3 linked regions of the Arabidopsis thaliana genome follow. The protein of the gene in region 2 interacts with the protein of the main gene of each other region in a pairwise test. Each region holds a gene or a part of one and is shown on either strand. Other genes may lie near its edges. The genes, in order: AT3G63210, MPK1 and STP2.

Evidence for each region.
Region 1: the proteins of MPK1 (region 2) and AT3G63210 interact in binary tests that used the Arabidopsis thaliana proteins (3 or more experiments, as listed by UniProt).
Region 3: the proteins of MPK1 (region 2) and STP2 interact in binary tests that used the Arabidopsis thaliana proteins (3 or more experiments, as listed by UniProt).

Annotation. Positions count from the first base shown.
Region 1 is NC_003074.8:23,350,447-23,361,161, reverse strand, and holds AT3G63210 (mediator of aba-regulated dormancy protein (DUF581)), read left to right. Parts: upstream 1-5,681; 5' UTR 5,682-6,255; coding exon 6,256-6,977; intron 6,978-7,057; coding exon of another isoform or gene 7,058-7,073; coding exon 7,074-7,143; coding exon of another isoform or gene 7,144-7,171; 3' UTR 7,172-7,648; downstream 7,649-10,715. Other genes in the region: AT3G63230 (senescence-associated-like protein (DUF581)), read right to left, coding at 824-1,009, 1,133-1,220, 1,336-1,529; AT3G63220 (Galactose oxidase/kelch repeat superfamily protein), read left to right, coding at 2,564-3,622; AT3G63215 (uncharacterized protein), read right to left, coding at 6,822-6,932, 7,058-7,171. UniProt on the Arabidopsis thaliana protein: May act as an adapter to facilitate the interaction of SnRK1 complex with effector proteins, conferring tissue- and stimulus-type specific differences in the SnRK1 regulation pathway. Involved in seed dormancy control.
Region 2 is NC_003070.9:3,341,893-3,352,852, forward strand, and holds MPK1 (mitogen-activated protein kinase 1), read left to right. Parts: upstream 1-7,189; 5' UTR 7,190-7,426; exon of another isoform or gene 7,427-7,672; 5' UTR 7,673-7,686; coding exon 7,687-8,109; intron 8,110-8,194; coding exon 8,195-8,884; 3' UTR 8,885-9,288; downstream 9,289-10,960. Other genes in the region: AT1G10190 (NEP-interacting protein, putative (DUF239)), read right to left, coding at 1,873-2,238, 2,344-2,487, 2,580-2,633, 2,784-2,936, 3,031-3,249, 3,350-3,442, 3,538-3,699; WLIM1 (GATA type zinc finger transcription factor family protein), read right to left, coding at 4,785-4,991, 5,129-5,218, 5,306-5,349, 5,449-5,545, 5,737-5,871; AT1G10220 (ZCF37), read left to right, coding at 10,267-10,923.
Region 3 is NC_003070.9:2,246,567-2,257,350, forward strand, and holds STP2 (sugar transporter 2), read left to right. Parts: upstream 1-8,255; 5' UTR 8,256-8,306; coding exon 8,307-8,439; intron 8,440-8,521; coding exon 8,522-8,841; intron 8,842-9,003; coding exon 9,004-9,630; intron 9,631-9,729; coding exon 9,730-10,146; 3' UTR 10,147-10,284; downstream 10,285-10,784. Other genes in the region: AT1G07300 (josephin protein-like protein), read right to left, coding at 250-439; AT1G07310 (Calcium-dependent lipid-binding (CaLB domain) family protein), read right to left, coding at 1,209-2,267; RPL4 (ribosomal protein L4), read left to right, coding at 2,624-3,455, 3,607-3,623; AT1G07330 (dentin sialophosphoprotein), read left to right, coding at 4,565-5,702, 5,789-6,549, 6,657-7,019. UniProt on the Arabidopsis thaliana protein: Mediates an active uptake of hexoses, probably by sugar/hydrogen symport. Can transport glucose, 3-O-methylglucose, xylose, mannose, fructose and galactose.

The sequences.
Region 1 (10,715 bases), on a different chromosome or scaffold from region 2:
ATTGTCAAAAAAATATTACAGTTAAGAGTTAAGAGTTACCATAATAAGTAAGAGAATCAATTAGCTGTTTTGAGGGGGAATGACGTCGTCTTCTTCTAAATGAATTGCCTCGACCTTTGCTTCTGTTCCAAGTTTCCTGTCAGTAGTAGTAATTAACTACGTCAGCTGAGGTCATTGCCTATCTAATAACAAAGATACGGTCAAACTCTTGTCTTTCTTTTTTTTGGCAACCAATTAAATTCTTGTCTTTCGAGTATTGGCTTTCGTCATACCTCCAAGTAACGGGAAATAACGCCTTGATGATGCTTGCAATTTCCTTTTTTTATGTAAGAATCTATAAATATTCTTCCTTGGTATATTATTTTTACCATATTCAATTCCAGCAAAGAAGGTTTACGTATGGCTGCTGGGCTGCTGGCTACCTTCTCAAGAATTCGAATATCACACGCACGCATTAAACAAACAAATACGGCCACAGAATAAATGTAGAATTACCAACGGTAAGAGATTACCAGCTTTAATATGTTTACTGAAATGTTATTAACCCATTTAAAATTATTTTTAGAAAAAGATAAATGATAATGGGCCCGTTTTTTAATTATGGGCTTACAATACAGGGCCTGTTTTATTCATTGTTGTTGAATCTCCTTGATCTACATAGTCCACAGACAAAGCAAGCCCAAGTCTATTAGAGTATGCCCTAATAAAGTTGCATTCCAAAGCCTCTCTGAGTTTACGAGACTGCCGAAACCCAAAAGTGTAAACGCCAAAGACAAACTTTTTTGATTAATAAAAAAGATATCAGAAGCTGTCATATCCACCCTTAGAAAACACACTTGTACATCAAATTGGTTATGCAAAGAAGACTAAAAAAGGAGAATCCCAAATAACCAAAGAGAAAGTTTGATCGACAGATAATAATATGCCGATGCAAACTTGTGAGAGTAGTAAGCCAATTCCCCTTAAAAAACGAGGCAAAAGGCTTAATAGTTGCACACATCCATCTACACTGAACCCCAAATCATCATCAAATTCAAAATCATATATAAAAGCATGATGATGATGATGATGATGATGGTGATGATGAGATCCTATCTAATCCCTCATCTTTGGATGTTCTTCCCTTCTTAACATTTGCTTTCTGTCTCGAGAAATCTCTAAAGACGTCGCATGCCATCTGTTTTGCTCTGCATTGTTTTGAACAGAATGCCCCCAAGTATCTGCCAGATGGTTGCAACAAGGAATTTCACAAATGAAAACCATAGTAACAATACACACAAAGAATCCCTAACAATGATATATCTAAGCAGAGAGGAAAAGAAGCAAAAAACTGACCCGTACATGAAAACGTCCTCGTCATGACGTAGATTCTTCTTGCAGAAACGACATAGCTCAAGGAAGTTAGTGAGCTGAACTTGAGCCTTGTCTTTCTCTGCCGGCAACCAATCCGAAGAACCTACGTACTTTGGATGCTTCTCAGAGAAGCTTGGGGCTCGCGGTCTCTTGCTCGGAATCATTATATTCGCCATCCCTTGAGAGAGGGATTTCGGATTGTAATCGTTTTATAATCGTTTTCATGTTACGATCAAAACTCACAAAGATTTTAAATATAATAGCATATATGTAAATACGATTTTGAGGTAAAAAAGAATGAAAATAACATTTTTGTTTAAAAATTTGATGAAGTTGCCAAAATAGAGATATTAGGATCAGAGAATATCCAAATCGACATAAGTTTGTATTCTTCTAGACTTGGTGTCAATTTCTCTCACATGTGTATGTGTTGATGAAAAGAAAACGTTTTGATATTTTGTGTGGAAAGCAGCAACCCAAAGAAAAACATAAAAAGGCCGGTACGGGGGAGAATCATAAATGATGATTATAAAATCGGTTTAGTAATATCATAAACGTAAAAACGACGACGTAGCTTCTTTATTAAAACCTTGTTCTCTCCTTGCTCTTGTTGTTCCTTAACCTCGATTTGATTTGATTTGATTCAATTGTCGTCGTCCGGCAAAATCACAAGCTAACTTGTTTCTCCCGAGAGATATCTATCATCACAATCTCCTTCCTTCGTGTTCATCAATCTCCCGCCGCGCTTCAGGTAAAATTACCTCCAAATCTGTTGTTGGTTTATTATGCTAATCTAATCTAATTCTTAGCGTGCGACTTCTTCTTCTTCTTTGTGTTCCCTTTGATTTGTCTCTCTTTCGTAATCGTCGCCGGTGTCTCAGTTTCCGCTTTTGCTTTGCATTGGATTCGATTAAATGCTTTCGTCGGAGCCCAATCTTGATTCTCTCTCTCGCCTCAAGTTTTTAGGGTTTCTTTAAATCCAATTTCATCGATTATTTGCTGTGTGATGCGGCGGTGTCTTTTGAAATCGATTATAATGCTGTGTGATGCAGCTTCGAGAGAAGAATTTATTAGGTCTTACGGTGAAATAAGTTACTTCACCCAAAATCTTCACTTTACACGCTTCTCAGCTTTTTTGGTCAATTTTGGCATATTTGTATTCAAAGATTGGGCATTTGCAATTGCTTGTATCTGATGATCAATCTCATAAATGTGTTACAGACAAGAAACAATGTCTGGGCTGCTGGATGGAATCCCCGAAGCAGTGGCTCTGAGATGCCTGGCTCATGTGCCTTTACACCTTCATCCCAATTTAGAACTCGTCTCTCGCTCCTGGCGAGCTGCTATCCGCAGTCATGAGCTCTTCAGAGTCCGTAAAGAGCTCCGATCTTCTGAGCATCTCCTCTGCGTCTGTGCTTTCGATCCTGAGAACATCTGGCAAGTCTACAGTCCCAACTGTGATCGCTGGCTCACCCTCCCTCTCCTTCCTTCTCGTATCCGCCACCTTGCCCATTTCGGTGCTGTCACTACTGCCGGCATGCTCTTTGTCTTAGGCGGTGGCAGCGACGCTGTCAGCCCTGTTACCGGGGATCACGACGGTACCTTTGCTACTGACCAGGTCTGGTCTTACGACTTTGTACAGAGACAGTGGACTCCTCGCGCTTCAATGCTCGTGCCTCGTGCTATGTTCGCCTGCTGCGTTCTTCAAGGGAAGATTGTTGTTGCTGGCGGATTCACCACTTGCAGGAAATCCATATCTGGAGCGGAGATGTATGATCCTGAGAATGACGTCTGGACATCCATCCCAGATCTCCACCAGACTCATAACTCTGCCTGCTCGGGTCTAGTGGTAAACGGGAAAGTCCACGTCTTGCACAAAGGCTTGTCCACGGTGCAGGTTCTTGAGAGCGTTAAACTCGGGTGGGATGTCAAAGACTATGGCTGGCCGCAAGGTCCAATGGTGGTCGTTGAGGACGTGCTTTACGTGATGAGCCATGGGCTGGTGTTCAAGCAAGAAGGTGACACGTGGAAGATGGTTGCATCGGCCTCAGAGTTTAAGCGGAGGATCGGAATGGCGATGACGAGTTTGAGTGATGAGGTTTTGATCGTAGGAGGAGTGATCGGACCTGATAGGCTCAATTGGGACATCAAGCCCTTGTCAGATGTCGACGCTTTGACAGTTGGGAATGATCGTCCGGCCTGGAGGAGTGTGGCGCCGATGACAAGGTGTCGTGGGACGATCCTTGGCTGCACGCAGTTGACAATCTGATGGATGGGAATGTGGCTTCATTATGACGTCTTTCAGTTCTTTTTTGTTTTGTATTTTCTTCCTGTTTGTTAACTGTTGTGAGCATTATTGTTTTTAAATCTTCTTTGAGAAATGAAAATAAACGAATAGCAGCTATGTCTTGAGAAAATGTCATCAAAGCCTGGTTATTGTCTATAAACGAATAGCAGATTTATGTCTTGAGAAAATATCATTTATGAGTCTGGTGAAAAAAAAAAAAAAAAAATAGGTCTATTGATTGGGCTATATGTGGGAATGATATCAGGTTGGGTTTGGACAGGTTGCATAAGTTATTTTGTGTTGGGCCTTAAACAATCTGAAAGAGCAATATGGGTTTGAACATGGAGATATTTGGTCATTGAACAGAAAAACAAAATTGTGGTATTCAAGCTCTAAGGAGTATTTTGTAGTGTATAAGAGTAATGATTCGGATTTAAGACATGTTGACAAAGAAGCAATGATTTAAGAAAATGGACCTCTCATTATCTTGCTCATTTGCTTTCTTTATCTTTGGTAATTAGGGTGATATGACTATATCCTTGATAAACACAATATATCGGTGCCACTTTCGAATTAATAATAACCATGATTAAAGATGGCGAGTCATCAAAGAAATCATGAAATGGAAAGAAATATAAAAATTTCAGTATCGAATCAAATGAATGATTAGTGCTGATTCCACTCCAATTATATTTTATAACCTCTACGTCAGGTGGTTTAGAAGGAAATCAATCTATCAAGAGTCACGTCTATGGATTGGGAGTCAAAACATATACGTATGCTTCTGGTAGTAGTCGTAGTGATTAAGGGATCAAAGTTGTTAGACTGAATGGGTTACAAACACAATTACGGAATCGATGGACACACTCATTACATTAAAAAGAAATAGCACATTCAATGGCATATATGGATGAGTAGTCGCTATTTGTTTCTTCTTATTTGTAAGAAAATTAATCAGATGGATATTCACAAAATTAGATTTATCCGAAAGAAAAAAAAAAAAAAAAAGAGAAACCCAATTGAGGCAAGAAGAGACCTTGAGGCATGAAAACAAGACACAAATACACAAAATTTCCTTGGCTAAACAAAACATAGAAAATAAAAGCTTGAATCGACAGGGGGAGAAGAAAAGGCCAATATGATCACAACGTCATAGAAATAGCGAAAACCGTAGAGGAGGAGGAGGAGAGGACCTACACACTCCTGTCCACATCCTTTTAGCCCCACCGTGGGTCTATCACTAATTCCTTCCTCTATCGTATTATATCCGAATACGTTACTTTTCTTTCCCTACTAGGCTACCAAGTAATATTTATGTTTTCTTTTGCGTTGATTATTTGTAAGTGAAGTTATGATTATACATAATCTTGCAACTTGAAACTCTTTTTGTTTTTTCTTGAATCTTGGTATGAATCAGAAGTTGACGAGCTTAAACAATGAAAATGCGATAGTTAGATGGGATTCGAGAAAAACAAGATCAACAACAATAAAAGTGGTTCGACGAGTTATATAACTTTTTGGGTCAAATAAGTGATTATTATTATATAATTTGTCTTGTAATGGAGTAAAACGCATCAAGACCATTCAATCAAACGTTTACTAGTAGACAAACACACGTGGCGCTTATCTAGAACTTAATTATTGGATTAAGCAAAGCAGGTGCAACTGTGGACCCCCCTCTGATTACATTTGTTTTTTATCCACAAACTGTTTATAAAATATTTAGTAGTATAGATTAACATGTACATTATTCACTGATTATTGTTCCTACATTTTTAAATAACGTCACTGATTCTTTGATTAATAAAACAAGAAACCCAAATGAAAGTGAATTATGATTTGAGAAAGACAAACGAAATAATGACAAAATGCCGTATTATATAATAATGGATACAAATTGTAAGAAATAAATAACTCACAGTTTTTTTTACAAAAATGAAAAATAGTAGTATAAAATAAAAGGAGAGCCTGTGTTTCAGAGGCCCAAACATCAATGCACAAATAATGAATGTATCGCCGTTCAAGTGTATACCTAATAAACTAAATAAAAGTTTGTACATGCAACAAAAATAAAGAGAGAGTACAAATTCGATAATCTTGCAAAAGATGTTTCCAATCTTTTATCGTCGACCCAAAATGTAGTATGTTGTTGTTAAAATACACGACGACAAAAAAAAGAGAGTACGATACACATTCAATCATATCCGGTCCCTAATATGAATAATGGATCGAAAATAATTGAGATCTCTATGTGTTAATAAATGTAAGGGGTAAATCCGTAAAGTTGCATGCATTTCTTGGTTAAATCTACAACGTCCCGTCTCTCGAGATCACTCTCTCTCTCTCGCTCTTTGGAAGGAATAAAGAAGAGAGGAAAGAGATAAGTGAAAGCAACTTTTAATCTGATTTTTGCGAGTGAGGAGAGGATCATCATTTCATAGGAGTGAGAGACCCCATTAATACCAGAAGCAGTCAGAGTTTCTCAATAATTGTACCAAATTCTCTCTATTCTTCTTCTCTTTCATTTTAGATATTTTCTCTTACGCAGACTCATTGCTTTCCTCTCTCCATGGAAGCTACTGAGTTATGATCCTTACCCTCACCGGTCTTTAACTATGCTTAGAAACAAACCTAGAGCAGCCGTGACGACTAAGAAACAAACATCTCTGTTAATGGCTGATCAACCTCCACCTCCAAAGCCTAACACTTGCCACTGCTCACCATCTCTCTTTAGCTCTCCCAAGTTTAGGTTTTTCACTTCTAAGATGATGATGACTCCCTTTGACTCTGATTTCTCACTCGTTAGCCCTACGTCTATACTCGAAGCTAACCCATCCATCTTCTCCTCCAAAAACCCTAAACCCGTTTCCTATTTCGAGCCAACTATCCCTAATCCCCAGCGTTTTCACTCTCCAGACGTCTTTGGCCTAGCCGATCTCGTGAAAGACGGAGACAGTAACAGAGACCACTCTAGAAAACCTGTCAACAAGATGGTCCTTTTCGGGTCAAAGCTCAGAGTCCAGATCCCATCATCAGCTGATTTTGGAACTAAAACCGGCATCAGATATCCTCCTTGTCAACTTAGTCCTTGTGTCCAAACGAAGGTCTTAGCAGTGAGCGAGATTGACCAGACGGAGGACTACACGCGCGTCATCTCTCACGGTCCTAACCCAACCATCACTCATATCTTCGACAACTCTGTTTTCGTGGAGGCTACTCCTTGCTCTGTTCCTTTACCCCAACCAGCCATGGAGACCAAGAGCACCGAGAGTTTTCTAAGCCGTTGCTTCACCTGCAAGAAGAATCTTGACCAGAAACAGGACATCTACATATACAGGTTCGTACCTCCACAATCTTTTATCTATGTATTTGACTTTAATCAGATCATAGAGTGGTTCCAAAACTAAACTTAATCACAATGGTTGTGGTGCAGGGGAGAGAAAGGTTTTTGCAGCAGCGAGTGCAGGTACCAGGAGATGCTTCTTGATCAAATGGAGACCTAGCTAGCACTCCTTCTCCATCTCTTTTCATTTTTATTGATTTTGTCACAGCATCATCTACTTTTGTATTATTCTTTTAGTTCTCTGATGCTTCTTCTCTTTCTTTCTTTTTTTGGGTGGGGGTATTTGTATTTCTAGTCATAACCTTTCTCGCCTGCAGATATGTGAAAGATAGAGAGAGAGTTGATAACTTTTTTCTTTGTGTCATGAGAGTGAGTGACTCGGAGGGCTCAATAATATCATAAACTTGCAGAATACTGCCATCTGAATCAGAAAATATCAAAAGCATCAGTCTTTTCCATAACCTAACATTCGTCGTGGCTCTATGCGGTCTTGTAGAGGGAAAATGTTATTGCTATAAGGCCATTTGCTTTTTGATTTAATTTTGTTAACTTTGACAGCGCCAAGTTACAACAATATATCAAGTTTTGTTACCGTTTACCTCAGATTCTGAACTCAGACTCATTTTTCAGTCGAGAAAGGTTTCTGGGAAGCCATTGAACTCGTGTTTTTATCCTGTGAAATGAGTCTGATTTGGTGTTTACAAGTAAGTATATAATAACTCTAATCGCAATCAAACCAAACCAGATCAAACCATAGATGCAGGGGAGGGGATTTTGAGTGGTTAAATATCGATGGGCTATATCATGCATAATTAGGCCGGTCCCTAATAATACGGGCCAGATATGGGCCGTTTCTAATAGGGTCCGCAAGTAATGAGGTTAGAGTCCCAGGGATGATTGCATGTCTCGGTGGCGTGCCCAATTTGCAAGACAGATAACTAAATGTTGAGGACCCTCATCACTTTTTTTTTTTTGGAATAGACTCGTAAATTTAATATCAGAGCAGCTAGAAGGCCCAATCTCACGGAACCATTTAATTGTAAAAACAAAGTGTGAAGTTGTGTCAGTATCATGTTTAAGTTTATTATTCGAATCAGCCAGTACCTTAATATATGCAACATGGATGTTGGAGTAGATGTTAAGACTAATGAGAGGAAGGTCGTATATACTAGATATAGCCATATAGGAGATACCAAAATTAATCTGGTAATGTGTTCAGACTCTGAGTCTAATGTCAGCTTTCTGCATACTCTATAATAATCATGCATGATAGTATTTGTTGTGAATCAAGTGATTTATGAAGAATGAACAATTGAAGATACACATATGAAGAAACAAAGCTGTCAGTCATAAAGTAAAATAAATAAAATGTACTGTCCCTTTGGGTTTCCCGTGACACACATAGTAGAAATTTATAAGGAATCATTTGTAATAATGAATCTTTTGTTTTGGTAAATCATTTGTTGTAAGAAAAATGTTACAAAAAAAAAAGAAGAGGAAGAGATCTATCAATAGAAAAGTTGGGCCGAATGGTGGTGGAGGTTTCCGCCAGAGGTTCTCGTCCGTATTATGTTCATTGTCGTCGCTATGCGACAAAAAACTATTTTTATGTAACAAACAGTGTAACACACAAGTTGCCTTCATTTGTAAAGAAAAATAAAAAAGGATTTGAAGAAGACAGACAAGAAGATCTTAGCAAAATCCATTACATTTGCCCCTGACTTCACTTTTATATTACAGATTCGACTTCCTTTCTTTTATTTTATTTAAACACCATTTTAAGCAAACAAAAATAAAAAAGCAAAACTTATGACAAGTACAAAAACCCACACGTGTGCGGTCAGGTCTATTATACACATGACGGTGCCGATATTTCCTTCCTCTTCTTTTATTTTGTCAACCACTTGTATTTTTCTCTTTTATAAGTTTTAGATTATAAGCATATGTACAATTTTTTGCCAAAAAAAAAAAAAAAAAAAAGCATATGTACTATTTAAAATATAGCAGGTTATTTACTAATCAGTTACACAGCAAAAATATAGTTAAGTTCGTGATTGTGATTAAATTAATACCTTAACAATTTCAAAACTGAAATTTGTATGACTTATGCATTGATTTTAAAAACAACACGATTATTTTGCTGCATATACATATAGTAGAAATCAATTATTGTACGTTCACATTCAACAAAAAAAGTAGTTCGATTAATAAATAATATATGGACGTTCTTTCATTATTATATGTTCTATAACTCGCATTATTGGATCCATCAAACATTCGACTTTATATTTGAAATTAGTTGTTGGCTGGTTGACTCGTATTTCTTTTTCATACTCTCTCTACTGTATTTGTTGTTCGTTGATTTACTACTTACTTATACATCAAATGCTTGGATCACTTGTACAAATAAATCAATCTGCCATACTCGTATATTGTAACGGATAAATTCAAATATTTATATCTTGCAACAGTTGAATACTTTTTCTTTTTCATCGGCTTCATTTTTTTGTTCACTATTGTTTTCTTTATATTAATTGAAGAAGGGCCACAAACATTATACTTTATTTATTTGGGGCTTCTTAAATCTCATCATAGCCGATTTTGGGATTAACTAAGCACATCATAAAGCTAACATATAATCACTATTGTTATTATTTAATAAAGAAATAAAAACAAACGAGAATCTTTTCATCTTTGACGTTTTTGAATCTCTCAATCGCCGCCAAAATGATCCGTTATGTACTTATACAACAACGCTGCAAAACGTTATTTCTAAAACATTTGTACTTGGATAATTGGATTCTGTACACATCTATATTCTTTTTCTTCTTATACGCATTATCTCATATATATAACGTGATATTATATAAAACAATATATTATGACAAACTCTTAATTATTTTACTTTTTCCATATAAATATTAGTACTTGATTATTCTTTGTATGGTCGATATACTGAATATCGAAATTTGCATTGAACACTATTAGCAATCTTTATATTAATGTTATTTTTTATTTATTTGATATTTGAAATAAAAAGAAAGATATTTAATCACATCATATAGTTGGAGTTATTAATTACACAAGGACGCCACATTTGCATTTAACGGGGGCTACGTGCTTCGACGCATTGATGAGTAATTTAAACAGAAACACAACTTTAGGCTTATTAATCACATTTTAATGAATTATTGTTTTTAATCGTTTTATAATATAGAAATTATTTTCATTTTTCATTATGATTGTTGTATGCTATCTTCAAATATCATCCCGCCTAGGATCGTTATAATGGCTTTGCAAAAACACGAATTTTTAAAAGAAAGAAAAGTGCATGGTCGAGCTTTAGGTTAATTTATTTTATCACTTTGTATGCAGAACGCATAATTGTGATATAAAAATAATATTGAATAAAGCGTGGTATTGGTGGGCGAATATGGTCCCAAATAATTTCGTGTTCTGTTCTTATATTTTCTATTTCTGCATATTTTTTTATCACTCCCTTTTAATTTATCATATTATTTACTTTGTCAAATGAAAAAAAACAAGACAAAAATATTCAATTATCCAACCTATCACCATATTGATGACTTTAGCCGTACCATAGAACTCCAAGGAAATTCTCGAGACTTGATTACTGCCACTTCTATTTTTATTTAGCCTTTCTTCTTTGAAGAACAATAAAATTGATAATGTCTTATATATTACCCTGTATGTGGAATTCAATCACAGCTA
Region 2 (10,960 bases):
TCGAGCTGGAAATAGAGCACAAGAGGTAGTAAAATAAAGAAAAAGAAAGGTTTTGACATTTGATGCTGGTTTTCTCCGGTTCGCTCTTAATTCCTGGGTATTTGATTCGCTTTGTGTTGTTCTCTGCGGTGTTGGATAGTTCGGTTCAAGGATTCTAGGATCCATTGAGTGTTTTAGAAATTCGATTTGGTTCTCTCTTTTTTAAATCCCTTTTTAGTTTTTTCCTTCAAATTAATATATATTGATAATGGGCCTTCCCGACAAAAATTGGGCTTAGCCATGGACATTATAAAACAGACAAAGCAGGTACAAAAAGGATTTTGGTTCTTTTTTGGTCTATTATTATTGGTTCAGATATTTGAATGGAGAACCAAAGTGCTAAACAAGTAAGTAAGTAACACAAGCTGTTAAATTTCTTCACGGGAGTATTTTCTTTTTCGTCACTATAGTAACAAATGTTTTCTCCACACACAAGGCCATTCGGCCCATTCCTATATTTTATGTGTTCCAAAACATATTTTATAAAACCGTTCTTCTATATTTATTAGTAACACTAGTTAATCACCCGCGCTATGCTGCGGTATTTTCAAATTTTTTGTATCGTTTAATTTAAATATAATTTTTAATTATCTAATCATTTACTTATATAATAAGTAATTATTCTTAGTATTAAAATATATTTTTTCTAACAACATTCTCAACAATGCATTATACACACAATTCATAAACAATGTTCGTCTTAAACTAATTAAATAGAGGGTAATATTGGGATTCTCGAAACCTAAGAATTTGATGATTAAACTTCTTACATACTCTTCACCCTCGGCGATTTATTATATAGATATATAACAATATGCAAACTATTCAAACTATTAATTAATCCATGACTACTATACACTCATAATTTGAGTTAAGATTACAGAAAAAAATCTTTTGAGTATGAGAAAACCAATCAAATTATTTTATTGAAAAACATTTAATAACAAAATAAATTTAGTATTAGTACAATTAAATATGTAAAATTAAATAATAAATATATCATTAATCTATAAATTAAAAGTTGAAGAGCTTACATTAATTATTCAGTGGACACATGGCAAATGTTAAAGTGATGATGTGTCAATCATATGGAGAGAATTGGTCAACTTTCATATATATGATTTATCTCACAAAAATACTATTTTTATTTTTACCTTGTTTTTAAATTATAAATTTTTATTATGAAATTTTTAACTCGTCGAGTACATCTCTTATTAGTTAAATATTCTTACATTTTTACAATTGGTTCCAATTATATTTTCTAAAAATATTGGGAAATTGAAAGATTTTAATTATTTTCGGTTTTAACGTGGATTATTGATGTGAATTATTTTTTATTTATTTCTTAATTAAAAACAAATTAAATAATATTAGCTAATCAAAGGTGTTAATTATAATTACACAAATACTCAAAATATATGAGTAACTTTTAAAAGATGTATGATATTCTAGTAATATTCATACTTTTCTATAACATCTAAGTAATTAATTCGTTTTTGTGACTGAATTTTAAATAAAATTCAAGATATAACAAAATGGAGAAGAAAAAGAATAGTAAACAAAAAACGTAGACAACAAAATATTCACACTTATAACTTGGTGAGTGTTACCAAAGTCACTAAGCAATTTTAGATTGTTCACCCTATTTTTACCTTGTTTTGTTTCCAGGAATCAATTATAATCAACGAGGATCTAGTTCGAAATATTTCTTTTAGTACAAACATTTATAATCTTAAAATCCAAAAGAAACGCATGATGACGATATTTATTGTATAATCAAGTCAATGTAATGTTTTATTAATTTTTATTCCACAGAGATGTAATTAATCATATTTAGATATTCCCCGGACCACCGTAAAAGATTATATGACCGGCTTCTGGGTATGCGGGAATATTATAGTCGTCTACAACTTGGTAGCCACGAGTATCGTCCACGAATTTTTCGGTATATGCCACTTTGCGGTCAATGTTATTAAAACCGTCGATTACAGATATCCGTTTGATATATGCATCGTAGCGCATACTAGCATCAAGAAAATATCCATATCCCATTTGAGGACTCGGCTGTGATGCACTATACGCTTCTCCACCCCACTCCACCAAATTTCCAGAGCTTTGATGAAATCTACTCGACGGCCAAAATCCAACTTCCTCTGCAGCATTACCAAATTGCAACCACCAATTTCCATTTATTTGGTCCTGTTACCCGAAAATAATAGGTGAATTTTTTCATTAGTTTAAGAAACACACAAATATGTATGCATAAAATTGTGAATGCTGTGTCATACTCCTAATTATTTAAACCTTGATTAGACCGAAGATTGCATAATGAGTTGTCTTAGCACCACGAACAGACACTGGCAATAATGCCATACCAAGATGAAAATCTTGACGAACGAGTATCATTCCTACGTCGCAGTCATTATTGTAACATGATTTTCCACCTGACTGTTCCATCAATATATACATTTTCTTACTAACATGTATACAAAATATAAAAATTAAAGAAAAAATTTACTAGCATGATATGCGTGACTCACATTTGTATAGACGAAAGTCCGAGGTTGGTCGTCCTTGTACAATGTTGGATTTACCTGAATTAGTACATATAATATGTGTTCATGAAACAATATAATACATATTTTGTTAGTTACTAAAATAAATTAAGTAACTAGAGCTCGTTGACAGGTGCTTTTATCTAGTGCAAGTTGTAGATGGCAAACAAATTAAATCAAATAACTTACAGTAAAACCGGTTTGGAGGAAATCACTTCCAATCTGAATGTGAAGTCGAGAAGCACTGAATTGGTTTGGCCTAACCTTAGGAGCGGTTAAACAAAGTTCCATCGTTGCTCCATTGAACCTCTTGTCTTGGCCAACCGTCCTAGCCACCGCAAACTAATAGCGTTCAATTTCATTCAATAACCAATTCTTATTATCAGTAATCAGTATAAATATATCAAAACATTATTAATTAAAAGAAGCAACGTACATGATGTTGGTTGTCACTATTAGTATCATCAGTGGTAAAATTCCAAGAGCCACGAGGTTTATGATTATCGCCAAATGAGTCGAATCTCAAAAGATCTTCTTTGGTGACTCTTTGTATGGGGACGGTACCAATGGGACAACCCACACCATTCTCCCATAGGTAACCAAAATTGGTATTATTTGTCTTTCTTTCTCTCATTCTTTTCCATATTGGGCGCATCTAAAACATGTCGAACACCATAAATATATTACTGTAGTTTTCTTTTAATGTTTCTAAAAGAATATAAGTATATAGAACTGATATATGAAATTATATATACCTTGTAATGGTATGTGTGATTCTTCATTGAAGGGTGATCAAATGCTGGTTGCTTGAAGAAATCCACACATCCGTATCTTTCTCCATCTATACTCTATCATTACAGCAATATATAAAGAAGTTAACATTTATTACTTAATTGTATAATATATAGAGAACAGTAACATGGTTATGAAGATATATTAAAACCTTGATGATCTTGACAGCAGGTTTGTTGATAGTCCTTAGTCTCTTCTCGATTTCTAAATCTTCAACTTTAGAAAGGCTCTTAGCTTCAACAAAGTCATTGTTATGATTTATAATTATGTTACCAAAGATGCAACACATTAAGAACATCCATATCACTTCCATTTGAATCAACAATAGAGAGAGACGAGAGAGTTATTGATTTTGAAGCATGGAAGATAACCCTTTAATATATAAGGCTGGAGGAGGAACAAAACATTTTTCAATTAATTCAAGACCATTGACCAAAATTTTTGGGGAAAGAGTTTTATGGTAGATTAATCAATTAGCATTGACCAAAAGTAATTAGTGTTTGTTCAACAATTCCTGAGATAAAAATCTGTTAATATTATGAATTAACACATAATACCATTGATTTAAATCATTTTGGTAGATTTACAATAGGGCTAATAAGTATGTCTACTTTCTACTTGTAATTAATTTCATATCATTGTATTATATCTATAGTAGCCATTATTTTCCCGATTTTTCCTTGAAGACAATAACATTAAAACAAAAAATCCATGAATCAATATGTTTTGTTTTTACAAATTCAAGTTCACGAAGTACTTTGCAAAATTTTTGTTAGCCTTCTCCGATTGAGTTTCGGCAAAGGGTTGTTTTCTGTGTTAGTGCGCCTCTTGTGTAGGGGTTTTCGTCGATTGGTCTCCTCCGAGTTGGGACTCATGGGTTTGGTCGTTGGGCCTATTAATGTTATGGGTTGTCTCTCTTGTTTCGGTTTGTTACCCTTATTTGTTTGTTTTATTTTATGTTTTTAATCTATGTTAACATTTGTAAGGAATTAGCCCAATATGTTTACATCTCCATCCTCTATCTTCACGCGACTTCATCATCCTCTCTGCCAAGAGTAACAAATTATCAATAACCTGAATCAACGATGGTAGCAATTGAATCGATCATTTAGCTGAAGCTTAAACTTCACGAAAATTAATTTATATCATATGAACGTAATACATATATATCTCATAAGCAAACATCCATTATTTCTTTGTTTCTCTAGTTTCATTTCAAGAAACCCAATAAAAGAGTGAACAAAGGTCCCAAAAAAAAAAAAACATATTAAAGACCAAAAAGAAAAACACAAACGTAGGAAGAAACAAAACCAATATATGTTATCGATCGATGGAGAAGTAGTGACTCTTTTGATTCTTCGATAGTCAAAATCATCCCAGAGAGATTGAATTGTTTCTTTAAGCAGCGACGACTTTGTCCTTGGCGGCATTCTCTCCTCCTCCTTCGAGCTGGCTCAAGTTTCCTTTCTCCTTGATCAGCTGAATATGATGATGCTTGCAATATAGCTTACCCTCGTGAGCTATGTAATTCGAAGGGCTTATCGTGCAGCCTCCATGTGTACACTTGAAGCAGCTCTTGTGGTACAATGTTCCATTCACCGATACCTACACAAAGTCCACATTATAAGCAATGTTTCAGCTCTGGTTTAAGCCAAGAACAGATCAGATTCGTTATGGAAACAATCTAACAATCTTCTTTGACACAACTTGATTCTGATCAGGAAAGATTTGAGATTGGATACCTTCTCAATTGGATACACGGTTTTGTCGCAACCAACGCATTTCTCTCGTGTTCCACCAAACATATTCGAAACTTTGGTTCCAGCAGGTCTCTGTTAAACTTCTCTCATGTTAAATGTTAAAAAAATTCAAGAACCTCAAAAACAGAAAAAGGGTTTTGTTCTGCTGTCCGAAAGTACCTCTCCCTCCAAAGGCCTATCAGGTTTCCCAATCTTTGGTGTCCCTGTACATATATATGAATCAAACTTTAGATAGATAATTCCAAATTTGAAATCCCCACTCACAAAGCTTTTCACATTTTGATCTGTTTTTGGTAATTTACCTTCGAAGCTTTTCTCAAGACTTCCAGTTCTCTTGAAGTTTTGATCGAAATGTGGTCTGCAGTAGAGAACTCCTTCAAAGGAGTTGTAATTGCTAAGCTGACTCATCAAGAAGAAGAAGAAGAAGAAGAAGAAACAGAACAGTCAAATCTTTAGACCAATCAGTTTCCATAGCCAAAAATTCAAAGATTTCTACTTAATTGATTGGACTTCTTCATCTACATATATATCTACTAGATCTACTTCTGGATTAATGAGAAATCATCACAAACTAGAATCAAAGATCAAACCTTGAGAGTTCCTTTGCAATGGTGACATCGGAAACAAGCTTTGTGGTAGACCCGGTTATCGGCGGTTAACTTGTCGACAAGATAAACTGTTTTGTCACATGCCATGCATTTCTGGGTTGTTCCTGCGAACGCCATTCTTGTAAGAGATCAGACTAAAAGACTCAGGAAAAAAGAAAGAAGCTCAATAGTCTTGAGAGAGAGAGAGAGATAAAGAAGAATAAGATGAAGATGAAAGAAAGAGATTGTCAATTATTGTTGCTTGTTTTAATATGGGGACCAGATATATTGAAAAATGAACATGCTTCTTCTTTTTAAATATTTAAAGTAAAATTCTTTTAGGAAAAATTGAAATTTTTAATAAAATGTCACAAACAAAAAAGTTCAAGATGAGTATCGAATTTTGGATGCAAATTCGAATATTTGGTGTTTCTGACAACCCTAGCATTGTTTTTCGTGGTTGTCTAATCCACAAAACAAGATAAGCGATGAATAAATAAATAATTTGAACGTTAGCAACAAAACTAAAAACTGTACTACAAAAAGAAAAGGTTTCAACGGCATTTTTTGTGTTCTTAATTATTTTTGTCCAAACTTGAAGTAACCCGTCAATATCTGTCTCCTAGATATTTTGCTTATATTTTTTTTACATTAATTCAGTTCTTTTATATCTAGAGTCAGGTAATTATTTAGAGAATGCATGCAGTTGCTTGACAGTGCGTAAGATTTACACAAATTTTTCTCAACAGTGAAGGCAATGCTCAATAGTCAATAACTGTTTGTAAGGAAATAGAACAGGGAAAACCAACTGGAAAGAATCTTTGTCTGGTTTTAGATAATGATTAAAAGCTGTATTGGTTATGTTGAATTAGTTGGAAATCTCTAAATATCTATACACTATTTATTTTCTTTAATACTATATGTTGTGTAGTGTGTATATGAATAATGAAAATATCTGAAACATGCTTTACCATAAAGGCTTTTGATGAGCTGTAGTATTGACATAATTGGTTGAAGAGAATGAGTGATCATAATGATACCTAACATCTTTTATTTAATCAAAAATACCTAACGTTATTTTTATTTGCTACTATAATAGACTCCAACCAATTTATTAGTATCATTTTATACAGTTTCTAACATTTTTGCCACTGCTTAGATTTATGGGCTTTCCCTTTCTGTCTGCATGGGCCTCCTCTCTTATATTAATAATCTGACTTAATGAAAACTTTTAAATCTTTTGTAGTTTATTTTCCTCTAGATGCTAATTTTAGCAAAATGAAAAGATGTGTGATGGAAACGTAAAGTTAAAGCAAAAGAAGATGGTGAATTGGTGATGCAATATTTTAGTCATGTGTCATTGTTTACATTTATGATATATTTTACTTTAAAATACTTTTCTTCATTTTCAATTTTTATAAATCTTCGTAGAACACATATTCACAAATGATGCTACTTTGGTGATCAGTTACTAAAAAATACCGAAATTGATTTTAGAAGATAGAGACGTGAATCTGTTTGCCAATATTAATTGGGCTCAACTTAAGCCCAAATTATATAAGGAAAGACTACCTAGTAACGAACAAGTAGCAGGTCAACTGTCCGAGCGTTGGCCAAATCTCTCTCACTTCCACAGGTTTCTCTCTCCGGCCAAATCTAACCTCCGGGGAACGTCGTTGGTCACTTATCACCGGTTAGAATTTCCTTCCCGCTTTATCCCGTAAACTTTTTTCCCATTGATTCCGATCGTTTATGTTCCTTCACCAAATCGATAAAGTTTGATCTTTTTCCTTTTCACTATTATTAACAGACCAATCTGTTTACACAAGAAATCTACAGTAACTTATCACTTGAAAAGTTTTGATAAATAGTTAGTATAATAATTTGTTAATTGTGTGTGTAAATTTGATTTCTTGATTGTGTGTGAATTGTGATGAAGAGGGAAAACAAAAAATGGCGACTTTGGTTGATCCTCCTAATGGGATAAGGAATGAAGGGAAGCATTACTTCTCAATGTGGCAAACTCTGTTCGAGATCGACACTAAGTACATGCCTATCAAGCCTATTGGTCGTGGAGCTTACGGTGTTGTCTGCTCCTCTGTTAACAGTGACACCAACGAGAAAGTTGCTATCAAGAAGATTCACAATGTTTATGAGAATAGGATCGATGCGTTGAGGACTCTTCGGGAGCTCAAGCTTCTACGCCATCTTCGACATGAGAATGTCATTGCTTTGAAAGATGTCATGATGCCAATTCATAAGATGAGCTTCAAGGATGTTTATCTTGTTTATGAGCTCATGGACACTGATCTCCACCAGATTATCAAGTCTTCTCAAGTTCTTAGTAACGATCATTGCCAATACTTCTTGTTCCAGGTGTGTGGTTGATCCCGTTCATTTACTGTTGGTTCTAGCTTTGCTTTCTCCTGAAATTTTGCTTTGCTTTGTTCTTTTTGTGTAGTTGCTTCGAGGGCTCAAGTATATTCATTCAGCCAATATCCTGCACCGAGATTTGAAACCTGGTAACCTTCTTGTCAACGCAAACTGCGATTTAAAGATATGCGATTTTGGACTAGCGCGTGCGAGCAACACCAAGGGTCAGTTCATGACTGAATATGTTGTGACTCGTTGGTACCGAGCCCCAGAGCTTCTCCTCTGTTGTGACAACTATGGAACATCCATTGATGTTTGGTCTGTTGGTTGCATTTTCGCCGAGCTTCTTGGTAGGAAACCGATATTCCAAGGAACGGAATGTCTTAACCAGCTGAAGCTCATTGTCAACATTCTCGGAAGCCAAAGAGAAGAAGATCTTGAGTTCATAGATAACCCGAAAGCTAAAAGATACATTAGATCACTTCCGTACTCACCTGGGATGTCTTTATCCAGACTTTACCCGGGCGCTCATGTTTTGGCCATCGACCTTCTGCAGAAAATGCTTGTTTTTGATCCGTCAAAGAGGATTAGTGTCTCTGAAGCACTCCAGCATCCATACATGGCGCCTCTATATGACCCGAATGCAAACCCTCCTGCTCAAGTTCCTATCGATCTCGATGTAGATGAGGATTTGAGAGAGGAGATGATAAGAGAAATGATGTGGAATGAGATGCTTCACTACCATCCACAAGCTTCAACCTTAAACACTGAGCTCTGAGCTCAAGTCTTGTTTGTACGGGTAATTTACAGAAAACTTCTTCTTCTTATGTCTGATTGTCATCATAGACTCATAGTGTATATAGTCTTGAAAAATAAGATGAAGACTAACTTATAGTTTAAGCGAATAGTGATGCCATGGAAGCTCTGTTTTATTTAATTACAAGCTTGATGTGTGTCTGTAACATATGTACATAGAGAGAGCTGTTTTTTTTTTTTAATTACAAGTTTGATGTGTGTCTGTAACATATGTACATAGAAAGAGCTGTGTTTTTTTTTTAATTACAAGCTTGATGTGTGTCTGTAACATATGTTCATAGAGAGAGCTGTGTTTCTGTTTCTCTGTTTGTTTGTTGCGTTCTTGCAGAACTTTTAACCCTCTCATGCAATCCAAGCCTTTTGATGAATCAAGTTTTCATATAGTTGTTCTCATATAGCTTAAATCTAAGAATATCAACAATTAAGCATTTTGTTATATGAATATTTGATGATCACACCATGATCATAGGCCTTCGGATTCATAGAAGGGGTAGGCCTTTGCACCGAACCTAACTTTCCAAATCGTAACAAAAACAATGTATTGTTTTTCTTTCAATTTCTTAATGAAGTTCTATAAGATAATTTTGGTGAGTAGTATCAGTACCCTCCTCATTCATTTATCACATGATATGCTTCATTTTTTTGTCAACACATGATATGTTGCTTCTATTGGTTAAAAAGCCTTAAAGGCTAAAAGCTTTTTCTTCTACACCAACTTTCCTTCTCATAATTCATTTTTCTTTTCATAGTATATAAATAACTTGGAGGATTTTCCAATTTTTGTAAACCCATCAGAAATTTAAATTAACAATGAATATTCCAACTATATGTTTATGGTTGAATCACTTTTGTCTTTCTTTCTCCCCAAGTCAAAACTAAGTTAAATTAACAATTAGTCAATTACTTATGATAAACCAAAAAAATATGATTACACCATCATGGAAATTTTTTTGCAGCTTCTTCCGCAAGAAAGTCAATTTGTAAGATCAGCAAAATACATCTGGGATGACGTTTCATTTGGTAGAAACTTATCTTCTATTCGTCCTAAAAGAGAACAAAAAAAGTGTCAACAATACGTGATCTGATCAATTCATCACATTTAATGAGATCTGGTCAAATCACCAATCCATTTGTGTATCTGAAATATTTACAATTAGTTTAAGACAAGTCTCATTATGATAACAATAAAGCCGTCTCTCTTGTCCAAATACTAAATCCTGCCTAACAACTCCTCCGTAACCAAATTCCTTCAAGCTCTCAAATTCTCACAACCTCTCCACACAAAGGACCAGTAACAGAAAAAAAAAAAAGAGGATATTGTTGATTGGACTGAATTGATTTGATATGTTGAGTCCGTTTTCGTCACCTAGGAGATCGAGAAGAGGAAACAAAGAAAGCAAGAATCCTTATTCAAATCAAGGACTTGACAAGTTCTCTGCACTTCTATCTGAGCTCGATGAGAAAAGACAGAGCATTTACGCAAAGAGGCTTGATCCTGATGGACCGCCTCTTGTTCGGTTTGTCTTCACTAGCTCCGGCGAGTGCGTCCCTGTAATGATCAAGACAAAGAGGGCAAGTCAGAAGAAGGATGTTCTAGATGATTTCAAGGTCAAGAAGAAGGACGTTCTAGATGATTTCAAGGTCAAGAATAAGGATGTTCTAGATGATTTCAATGTAAAGACCGAATCAAAAACAGAGCAGGAAAAAGAAATAAAGCAAACAGATTTGGAAACAGAGCAGAAACAGAGCTGTGTATTGAATGAGAATCTGAAGAAGATTTCAAGACCAAACCATTTATTACCCGTGACAGTGGTGCTGGTTCTAATATTATTGGTGTTTTTCGGACGGACCGTCTCGATCATGTGCACTTGTATCGTTTGGTACTTGGTTCCAATGATCAAGGAACAGAGCAGAAACAGAGGATCAACATACGAGACGAAGAGGAGGAAGAAACTAAATATTGAAAACAGAGCTGCTCCTGATAAAAGTGAAACCCGGTGACGAAAATCAAAACTTTTTCTTTTTTTGTGAATTTCTT
Region 3 (10,784 bases), 1.1 Mb from region 2:
TAGTTAAAGTGGATCTACAAATTTATAAAGAGAACTATGCCCAAGAGCAAAAAGAGAAGACTAGGTTTAGTTTTTTCTATTTTTCTTTACGGTCCACAGAGGGAATAAACCCTTTGTTTAAGTGAAGAAAAAGGTTAAGCAACCATTTGGTATCATTCTTCTTTGATGATCACTCATGTGTGCACATAAGTTACATAACAATCTAAAAAAGTTTCTTTTTGACTCCAGGAGAGGCCAATATAATCTTACCTTTATGGATGCAGATTCCTTTCATGAGTCTGCGGCTACAATAAAAAGGAGGGATCAAGGAAAGAACAAAAAAACAAGTTAATGGTGGGTACAAGAATATGAGAAAGCATATAATAAACCAGGGAGTGTCAGGACATAAATAGAAGATCACACAATCTGGAGAATAGAGTGATTTTACATGTGAAAACATTCCATTGAGAACAGAACAATAATACCTGCATGATTGTCAGTGATTAGATGCAAATAGCATGAGATTGACTGATATGTATAGCAGGTTACCAAAATGCCAAAAGGGAAAAGAATGCAATAGCAAAACTGCTCTGTCTCATCGTTATAACAAGAGCACAATAGACTTAGCACCAACCGTGTACATACCATTTTACCCAAAACGATCAGAGAGAACATCTTTTCTGCACTGTGATGAGCATGATTCAAGACACATTAATCCAAACGCTCAATGAATATGGAGATCACTGGTTCCAAACGAAAATCACACATTGGTATCATCAAACATGAAATAAGAACCAAAGTCTTTAACCAGCCTGCAAAAATATTCGGCAGAATCGCAGGATATAGGACTGTTCATGTCTGAGACAGAGCATACTACCATACCTAATCAGAGCATGGTTCAAACAATAAATCAACAGTAAAGTGATTCACATTAGAACATTAACCCTAAGAACCCAATAGCTTGATTCAAGAAACTGAATGAAGGAAAGAAATGAGAGATGTTTTAGAAACATGTACAAAGGTACAGAAGGGGTAACACCGAATATCAGCTAGAAAGAAGCAACAAATCAATTCACAAACGAGACATACATATAGACATAACATATACTTCACCAAATTCATATTTTGTCATCAGCCATTTCCTGGTGTTCTAACACCAACAAATCTGATGATAAGTAAAGCCTTAGAAACGCCGCACACTTGTGAAATTCAACAACTTTTTGCCATCCTCAACATTCACGGCGATAATCACGGCCATAGCTGTAGTTTGGCCTAGCTCCGAAATCACTCTCAGACCTCTCTGCAGCAGCTCTCTCTTCCTCTAAGCTCAATCCACCCATCGTCTTCTGCAACTGCCTGTGATCATAAGGAGAGTAATCGACTGGTGCCGATGGACCATTAGGCACTCCGTAGCTAGACAATCGCGAGCCCATAGGTGGAGCTTGTGGCTTGTACTCGGTAACCAGAAAGGCATCAACGGGTGCTGAGGGCCCACTAGGCGGTGGACCGTAGTTAGAAAACCGAGGAGGAGCTAAAGGAGGCTGCTTGTGATCAATCGATGAGAAGGCATCAACGGGAGCAGATGGGCCACTTGGGAGGCCGTAATTGGAGGCACGATCGTACATTGAACGTGGTGGAGGAGGCGGATAATAATACCCGGAATAGTAGTGATCAGTGAATGCGTAAGGAGACGGAGACGGTGACTGTGAGAATTCTCTGTAGTCACGCTGAGGAGATGGAGCGGTGATCGGTGCTTGAGGAGGAGGAGGAGGAGGAGGGCTAGGGGAGTAATAATGGTTTCCTTGAGGGGCAGAATAGTAATCTAGTGGTTGAGATTGAGGACGTGGCGGAGGATGCTGCGGTGGAGGGATTGGTCTGTCTTTGATCGCGAGCTTCAAACGAATCTTCCCCTGTGGTCGACCCGATGGACGAACCAGCTCGAGCGAGTTGATCAATTCCGGAATCATTGACCCGTCCGAGTCAATCAAACGAGCTAGAGGAAACCTAACCGATCCGACGAGGGTTTTCGCCAGATCCGAAGAATTGGAATGAAAAACCTCGATGTTGAGGACCGATTCGTGGACAGATCGGGTGAGAGGAAGAGTAATCCGCTCGTTCCACACCGGTTTGATGGAGGAGGAATCATCGGAGCGGGTGGAGAGAGGGTGGTCTTGGTCAAGATACAGAACAACGTAGGGTTTCAGGTCACCGTTACGCCAGTTGACATTCTTCAGGTGCTTGGCAGAGACGACGGTGACAACCAGGTCGAGTGGCTCCGACGAAGTCATGAATACGGTGCGTTTCAAGACGAGACGGTGGCTTACGCGGTGGTCTTAGCTAACGTGCGCTCGTATCTCAAATATCTGTATCAAAGTCTCAGCTATCATCAACTATCATCGTTTTATCACAGAGTTTTATGTCTCAAAAAACCTGCTGGCTATATAAGAGGCTTTTGACTTTTGGAGTTTGACTCTTTCTTACTAGCGACAGCTGGAGTTATTCATGAACAGGATAGTTATATCCTTATGTCCAAACAGATGCATAAATTCTCACCAAGCACAAGATAGGCATTTGAAGAGTGGATAACACTTTCTCAGTCTTTCTTCTTCTTCTTCGTTGTGATAGGTCAGGTCAGGGAACAACAATGGCTTCTTCTGCAACAGCACCAAATTCGCTATCTTTCTTCTCATCTTCTCTCTTTTTATCCTCCTCTCACCAAATCCCTAAAACCTACATTTCCGTTTCAAAACTCGGCTCCGGCAGAGTCTCGAAGCCGCTTTCTGTCTCTTCCCAGCTAGCGACTCTACCGATTCTATCATTCGAAGGAGAGAAGGTCGGAGAGACGTATCTAGACCTCAAAGCGGCGCCGGAGGATACCGCGCGTGCCGTTGTGCACCGAGCCATCGTGACGGACCTGAATAACAAGCGGCGAGGTACTGCTTCCACACTGACTCGCGGTGAAGTTCGTGGTGGTGGAATTAAACCTTACTCACAGAAGAAAACTGGCCACGCGAGGCGTGGATCTCAGAGAACACCGTTACGTCCCGGTGGAGGTGTGGTGTTTGGGCCAAGACCTAAGGATTGGTCAATTAAAATCAATAGGAAGGAGAAGAAGCTAGCGATATCTACGGCGTTATCGAGTGCGGCATCTGCGGAAGGTGGTGCGATAGTGGTGGAGGAATTTGGGGAGAAGTTTGAGAAGCCCAAGACTAAAGATTTCTTAGCTGCGATGCAAAGGTGGGGATTGGATCCCAAGGAGAAAGCTATGTTCTTGATGATTGATGTGGATGAGAATGTGGCGAAATCGAGTAGGAACATTGGAACCTTGAGGATGTTGACGCCTAGGACACTGAATCTGTTTGATATTTTGAACGCTGATAAGCTTGTTCTGACTCCTGCGGCTGTGGAGTTCTTGAATGCGAGGTACGGTGTTGATGCGGTGGAGGAAGAAGATGACGATGAAGATGAGACGGAAGGTTAGTGTTTTCTTGAAAGGAACTGGCTTGTTGTCGAAATTTGATGTTTTGAATGTTGTGTTTGATCGTTTTTGTCTGGTTTTAATTTCTTGAAGAGGTAGAAATATGATGTGTTAATATGGAAAAGTAATTATTTGTTTGTGTTATGAAGGGTCAGAGGAAGCTTAAGAATGAGTAGCACCCGTAGTTCCAATTGCTTCAAGTGTGGCTTAATTATGAGTTTAATCTTGAGTACATCTTCTCACTCTCCTTGATGAGGTCTTCTCTTTCCTTTTTGTGTCACAACAAGAGAAATGTGTATTTACTTTTAGAGTTTTTCTTAAGAGATCATCCTCAATTTCTTGTCATACTGATTTTGTGTCCAACTCTCAATGAAGGAGTAAGGAGTGAAATTAGATATCATGAGTAACGTTGATTGTGTGTGTATCAGTTAAGATTGAGCAACAAAGATTGACTTTAGTCATCAAGTTAACAAGAAAGAGTGGCTATTATAAGCTTTAAGCGTTGATGTTCATCTTGGTTTTGAAAATCATGAATAGTCTCACACAAATCTGTTAACAACTTGCTAAAAAAAAGGATTAGCTAGAAAACTTAGGAAGTGTCAATAGTGTATGTTATTTACAGACATTTGATGGGTCTTGGTGGGCTTAAGAAGATAGCCCAATCTTTTGAAGAAAGAGATATGAGATGCAAAATCCATGAACTTTAAGGGTCAATTTCTGAACCAGTAAAAAATGTGGTTAAAAGTGTAAGAAAACAAGAATCTTTGGAAACATGTGTAAGAAAGCAACTAATTTAACTCCCGCCCTCTCTTACCAGTTTTCTATTTTGTCTTCTCCGTCCTTACCGTGTGTTCTGAAAACTGAAAAAGAACCAAAACGAAAATCTAAAAAAACCCTTGAAAAATCTATTTTTTATTGACTGGTTATTGTTTCAAATGAAAGCTTGACCTCTCTCTTATTGATCAATTTTCGCTTCTTCAATTAAACCATATTTGTTTTTCCCTTTCAAGCATTTTGATTCTCTAGGACAAAACACAAACCGCCATAGACAGAATGCTTTGGGTTATTATCTCTCAAAGTGTTCTGAGAATTTGAACTGTTTAAAACATGGGAATCGATGCCAAAGATGTCGGAACTCTGTTCTGGAAAATTCTCAGATTTTCCACGAACATCGTTTATAGAAACGTAAGGAATCACCCAGTTGTTTCTGGTGTTTCTGCAATTATCTTCCTCCTATACATTTTTCTTCCACGCCTTTTTTATTTCGTCCTTTACTCTTCTCCGTTAATCGCATGCTCTGTGTTTTATCTTCGGAATCATCCAAGTTTTAAGCTTTTGCATATCAAAACGGATAATTGGTTTTCACCATTTTCCCAAAAGAGATCTGAGGAGGAAGAAACAAGGAAGGCTGACTTAAAGCACCAACGAAGTGTTCGACGAAACGCTAGAAGGAAAGTTGAAGAGGTTGGGAAAGATTGGGACTCTTCTCAGGCTAGTGAAGATGAGAGAGACAGAGTCATTTTAACAACTCTCTATGGTGAAATTCCCAATACTGCAAAATCTCCCAAACTTCAGAAATTCAAGAAAGATGGAGCCTTTCTTGTGTCTGAAGGTTTCTCCTTTGAGCCTAGCTTAGATGAAGAAACTCTTTCAACCACCGGGAATGTTTCCGTTGTGGATCCATCGGAGAGGTTGACTAGTGGTGGTGGCGAAACCGAGATCGAGTGTTCATCGTCATCAGAAGGCGAAGAAGAAGAAGAAACTACACGTGAAGACAAAAAGATTGTAGCTTGGACAGAGGATGATCAAAAGAATTTGATGGATTTAGGAAACTCTGAGATGGAACGTAACAAGAGGTTAGAGCATTTGATTACTAGAAGAAGAATGAGGAGATTAGTCCGACTTGCCGCTGAGAGTAGCTTAATGGATATGGAAGTTCCTCCAGTCTGTGTTGGACGGAACTATTTCGGTTTGGATCAAGAAAACTATATAGTTGATGGTCTTCAAATGCCTGAATCTGCACCTTCTGTGTTATTACCAACTAAAAACCCTTTTGATATTCCTTATGATCCACAAGAAGAGAAGCCTAACCTCTCAGGAGATAGTTTTCAGCAAGAGTTTGCAGCCAACCCTAATGATATCTTCTTCTGCCGCCATGAAAGCTTTTGTCGCAGAGTCTTTCCATTGGACAATCAGCTTGACACGAAATGGGAACCGTGGAAAAAGAAGTCAATACCACAACAAGGTACATCCTCTTGTCATTCTGAAAAATGTTGTAGCTTACAAAGTAAATGATTCTAAGTTCTACAATTCTGATCCTTGCTCATGTAGGTAGCAATGATGGATTGGTTGGGGAGAAACATCCTGTAATGAAAGGAAAAGATCTAACAAGAGGAGAAGTAAATGATATGGAGTCAGAACACATGACAGAGATTGTTGTTAGTGATTCAAACTCATTGCTTTCTCCTGAAGACAGGGAAATGAATTCTGATGTCTCAAATCAAGCATATTTTTCTGGAACTTCTGGGAAAGGAAATGGTGATCTTCGTGTTGAAAACCCTTTAGTTGGTTTAGTTCCTAGAAACACTGGTTCGCTTTCGAGTTCTTTAGCAGCGGAAAGGCAAAGATACGTGGAGCATTTTGGTTATAGCTCAAAAAAAGGTCATAAGTTATCTGTAGAATCTGATCTTCAAGTTGAGGTTTCTGAAATTGGATCACCTCCCACTACAGTTGATGGGAATAATTCTTCTGATGAAGAAAAATCACGTATTGTCAACGAATCAGACATTGGGAAGGAGACGGGATTTAGTGGTGAGGAGAGCATTGTGGATAGAACTGAAGAAACTCAAATGTTACCAGTGGAGAAAGTTGATAAAGATTTAAATGAAACGATTTCTAAGGTCTCTCCAGAAACTTATGTAGCCAAACAAGTTGAGGGTCTGTCTGATGGTACTGATATCAACGGAAGATCTGAGGAAGAAGAGAGCTCAAAATCCGGACGCTTTCCACTGGAAAATTCAGACAAAGGATTCTATATACATGAAGAGTCAACAGTTCCTCACATCAATGAAGTTATTTCGAGAAGAGAAGAGGTTATATAGTTCTTGTTCTTGTCAGGTTTTATGGAAATATGATTGCTACTTGCAATGTGTTTCTCAAAATGTTGAATTTGAATATATTCCTTGTACCGTTATGACAGGAACGTGTCCAAAACTTGACTGATGAGATGAAGATAAATGATGACTCTGATGAACCTGAAGCCTTTGAAAGAAGAACAAATCAAGAACCCCAAGAACATTTTGGGGGAAATGATGGAGACCAATCAACTCAAGAGTTGCAAGAACTTGTGGAACCTGAAGTTTCAAATGTGAACAATGTCACATCAGACGAGTCTGCTACTTCCCCAAGATCAGTGTTACCAGACATGTTGTTATCTTTAGACCAGACTTATACTCTGACTTCTGAGAGTTTGGAACATACATTAGATAGTCAACCTCCGCCAGTGATTCCATATCCGGAATCTCCACAGAATCAATCAGGTGTTGATGGGAACAGTAGATGAAGTGTGCTCAGAGATCAGTTTCAATGACAGTACTTGAACTGAAATGTACCTTTAACAAAATGATGACGTGTGTTTTCTAAAACAAGGATAGTCTGAGGCAAGTGAGAAGCTAGAGAAGAAGTTTCTTCTTTAGATGCCATTGTCCTTTTGTTGAACACTCAACAAATTCAGGCTTATGCAGTGTAGAGGATTTAGGTTCCCTAGCTAAATTTTATGTATATGCTAAAGTTGAACATTAATGTGTGGAATTTGATTTAGTGAAGTGATCATCATTTTGTTTGATGATAACTGAGATATAATTTATGTTGTCTTTTAAAAAGTTTAATGTATTATAGTATGGGAAATCTGATAATGATTGGTTATTTCTAAATTTTAGTAAATTACTTTCTCTTTTAGTTTAAAATAAATAAAGGATCGTTGATTATCAACAAGATAAAATTTTTTACAACAACAACAACTCTTCTCCTGATTATGAAGCTCTAAATATTTTTTAATATTAATGACCAATTAATTTTACCTTTTAATATAAGTGGTCACCTTTTTTTTTTAAAACCGTATATCAACTTATCTGCGTTTTTCTCGTATTCTCTCATGGGATTAATATTTGCTTTTAAATGTGGATAAATGATGTCCAAAAAAACATTTGGATAAAATTTTATCCATGCTGAAAAATGTATAACAAGAATTTTTTTTTTTTTTTTAATAACAAATACTTATAATTCTTACGATTATATAGGTGTAGATTATTATTCTTTTTCATGCAATGACCATGCGGATAATTTTGTCTAAATTTTATCCAAAACTTTTTTCACACTCATTTCTTATAGGAAAAATATTCTACCCAGACTTGCTTGTGTAATTATATGAATGTTAAAAATATTACATAATCAAAAGCCAAGCTCTGAGATCATATATGTCGTATAAAAAATTATTATTGTGTCGATCAAACGTCATTATCTTTTACTTAAAAAAAAAAGAGTTTTTATTTCTTAATCTCGATATTGATCTAAACGATTTAATTGTTTATTTATTTAAATGATAATATCTTAATATCAAAACACATATATCTTATCAGTAATTATCCACATTTATTCTCAGATAAAACAGGATCGAGTCAGAAGAAAAATTCGTTCAAAAAGATTCAGTTGTTAAATCTTAGTTTATCCAAAACCCTCACACTCATCTATAAAAGAAACCCCATCTCCTCTCTTAGGCATTTGAGTTTTATTTACGATCCTCAATACCACATAGTCAGAAATATTAAAAGAAGCTAAGAGATCAACAACAATGGCTGTTGGTTCGATGAATGTCGAAGAAGGCACTAAAGCTTTTCCTGCGAAGCTGACAGGTCAAGTCTTTCTTTGCTGTGTCATTGCTGCTGTTGGTGGTCTCATGTTTGGTTACGACATCGGAATCTCAGGTTTGTTCTTCTATTGGTTTTTGTTTGTTAGGGTTTGACTGTTTTTTCAGTGATATCAATTAATGGTGATCAAAATTTGCAGGAGGTGTAACGAGTATGGACACTTTCTTGTTAGATTTTTTCCCACACGTGTACGAGAAGAAACACAGAGTACACGAAAACAACTACTGCAAATTCGATGACCAGCTCTTGCAGTTGTTCACTTCCTCACTCTACTTGGCTGGAATCTTCGCTAGCTTTATTTCTTCCTATGTTTCTAGGGCTTTTGGAAGAAAACCCACAATCATGCTCGCCTCCATCTTCTTCCTCGTCGGTGCTATCCTCAACTTATCTGCCCAAGAACTCGGCATGTTGATCGGTGGTCGTATTCTTCTCGGCTTTGGTATCGGTTTCGGTAACCAGGTATCATGTCAAACCCTCAAAACGTTTTTCTATCTCAGTGGATTCCTCTGTTTTCATCTAGGGTTCCTCTGTTTTCACCTAGGGTTTCCTCTGTTTTTATGCCTTAACTCATCGTGTTTTGTTTTGTTTTGTTTATTAACATTGAAAGCAATACTTTTGCAGACCGTTCCATTGTTCATCTCAGAGATTGCTCCGGCGAGATACAGAGGAGGACTAAACGTCATGTTCCAGTTTCTCATCACCATTGGAATCTTAGCAGCAAGTTATGTGAACTACTTAACTTCCACGTTGAAAAACGGCTGGAGATATTCTCTCGGTGGTGCTGCTGTCCCCGCTTTAATCCTCTTGATAGGATCCTTCTTTATCCACGAGACTCCGGCTAGTCTCATCGAGCGCGGTAAAGACGAAAAGGGGAAGCAAGTCCTGAGGAAGATCAGAGGCATTGAAGATATTGAGCTCGAGTTCAATGAGATCAAATACGCAACAGAGGTAGCGACAAAGGTGAAAAGCCCATTCAAAGAACTCTTCACCAAGAGTGAGAACAGACCACCATTGGTGTGTGGAACGTTACTTCAGTTCTTTCAACAGTTCACCGGTATCAACGTGGTTATGTTCTACGCTCCAGTTTTGTTCCAGACGATGGGTAGTGGTGACAACGCTTCTCTGATCTCTACTGTTGTCACCAATGGTGTGAACGCAATCGCTACAGTTATCTCTCTTTTAGTGGTTGATTTCGCCGGTAGAAGGTGTCTTCTGATGGAAGGAGCTCTCCAGATGACCGCTACACAGGTTAGTTTTTTTTTTTTTTTTTTTGCTTGTGTCACATGGTACACATATTCTTACTTGGATAACAAGCTAACTTGTATTTTTTTTGATCATCTTACGCAGATGACAATTGGAGGCATTCTCTTAGCTCACTTGAAGCTAGTTGGTCCTATTACTGGCCATGCCGTGCCGCTGATTGTATTGATCCTCATCTGCGTATACGTGTCTGGATTTGCATGGTCTTGGGGTCCATTGGGATGGCTTGTTCCGTCTGAGATCTACCCTCTTGAAGTGAGAAATGCTGGTTACTTCTGTGCGGTGGCGATGAACATGGTCTGCACTTTCATCATTGGACAGTTCTTCTTGTCTGCTCTCTGCAGATTCAGATCATTATTGTTCTTCTTCTTCGGAATAATGAACATTATCATGGGACTATTTGTCGTGTTTTTTCTTCCCGAAACCAAAGGTGTTCCTATTGAGGAAATGGCCGAGAAGCGTTGGAAAACGCACCCGCGTTGGAAGAAATATTTCAAAGACTAGATTTCATTTTCTTTCTTTCTTTTTGTTCCCCAAGGTCCCTAGTTAATAACTAGTAATTTGAACCTTTTCTAATTTTTCTAGCTAGGGTTTGATTTTTATTTTCTGCTATTTTTTTAAGTTTGTAGTTCGAATTGTTAAAGATTCAGTTGGATATGTTTATCAATCAGTTGGAGAAGTTTAATATTTTCAGTTCTGGTATTCAAATAATCAGGCACAATTATAGTTTGGGGATTGAATTGTCTAAGCAAACGACAATATTCTCGAACTTCAGTTTTTAAGATTCCTAATAAAGTGGGACAAATCACTAAGAGATTTGTGCATATCAATATAATCTATATTAACTATTCAAAAACAACTATATATATCACTAATAAAATCATGTAATTTTTAGTTTTAAAGTTAAATTTACTCTTGTTGAAAAGAAGAAGAAGTTAAATTTACTCTTTATACCACTTACACATAGGTGTATGAAATACAAAATATAACTAGAAAATAATTCAGAGGGAAAGAAACGTAAATTTGTTTTACATATAATTAAGTAAAATGTTGAAAAACAGAAAAAGGTTAAGACAATTTTTTATTGTTTTGATAATTTGAGCTAAGACAAAGTAAAAAAAAAAATTAAAACAAAATTTTGT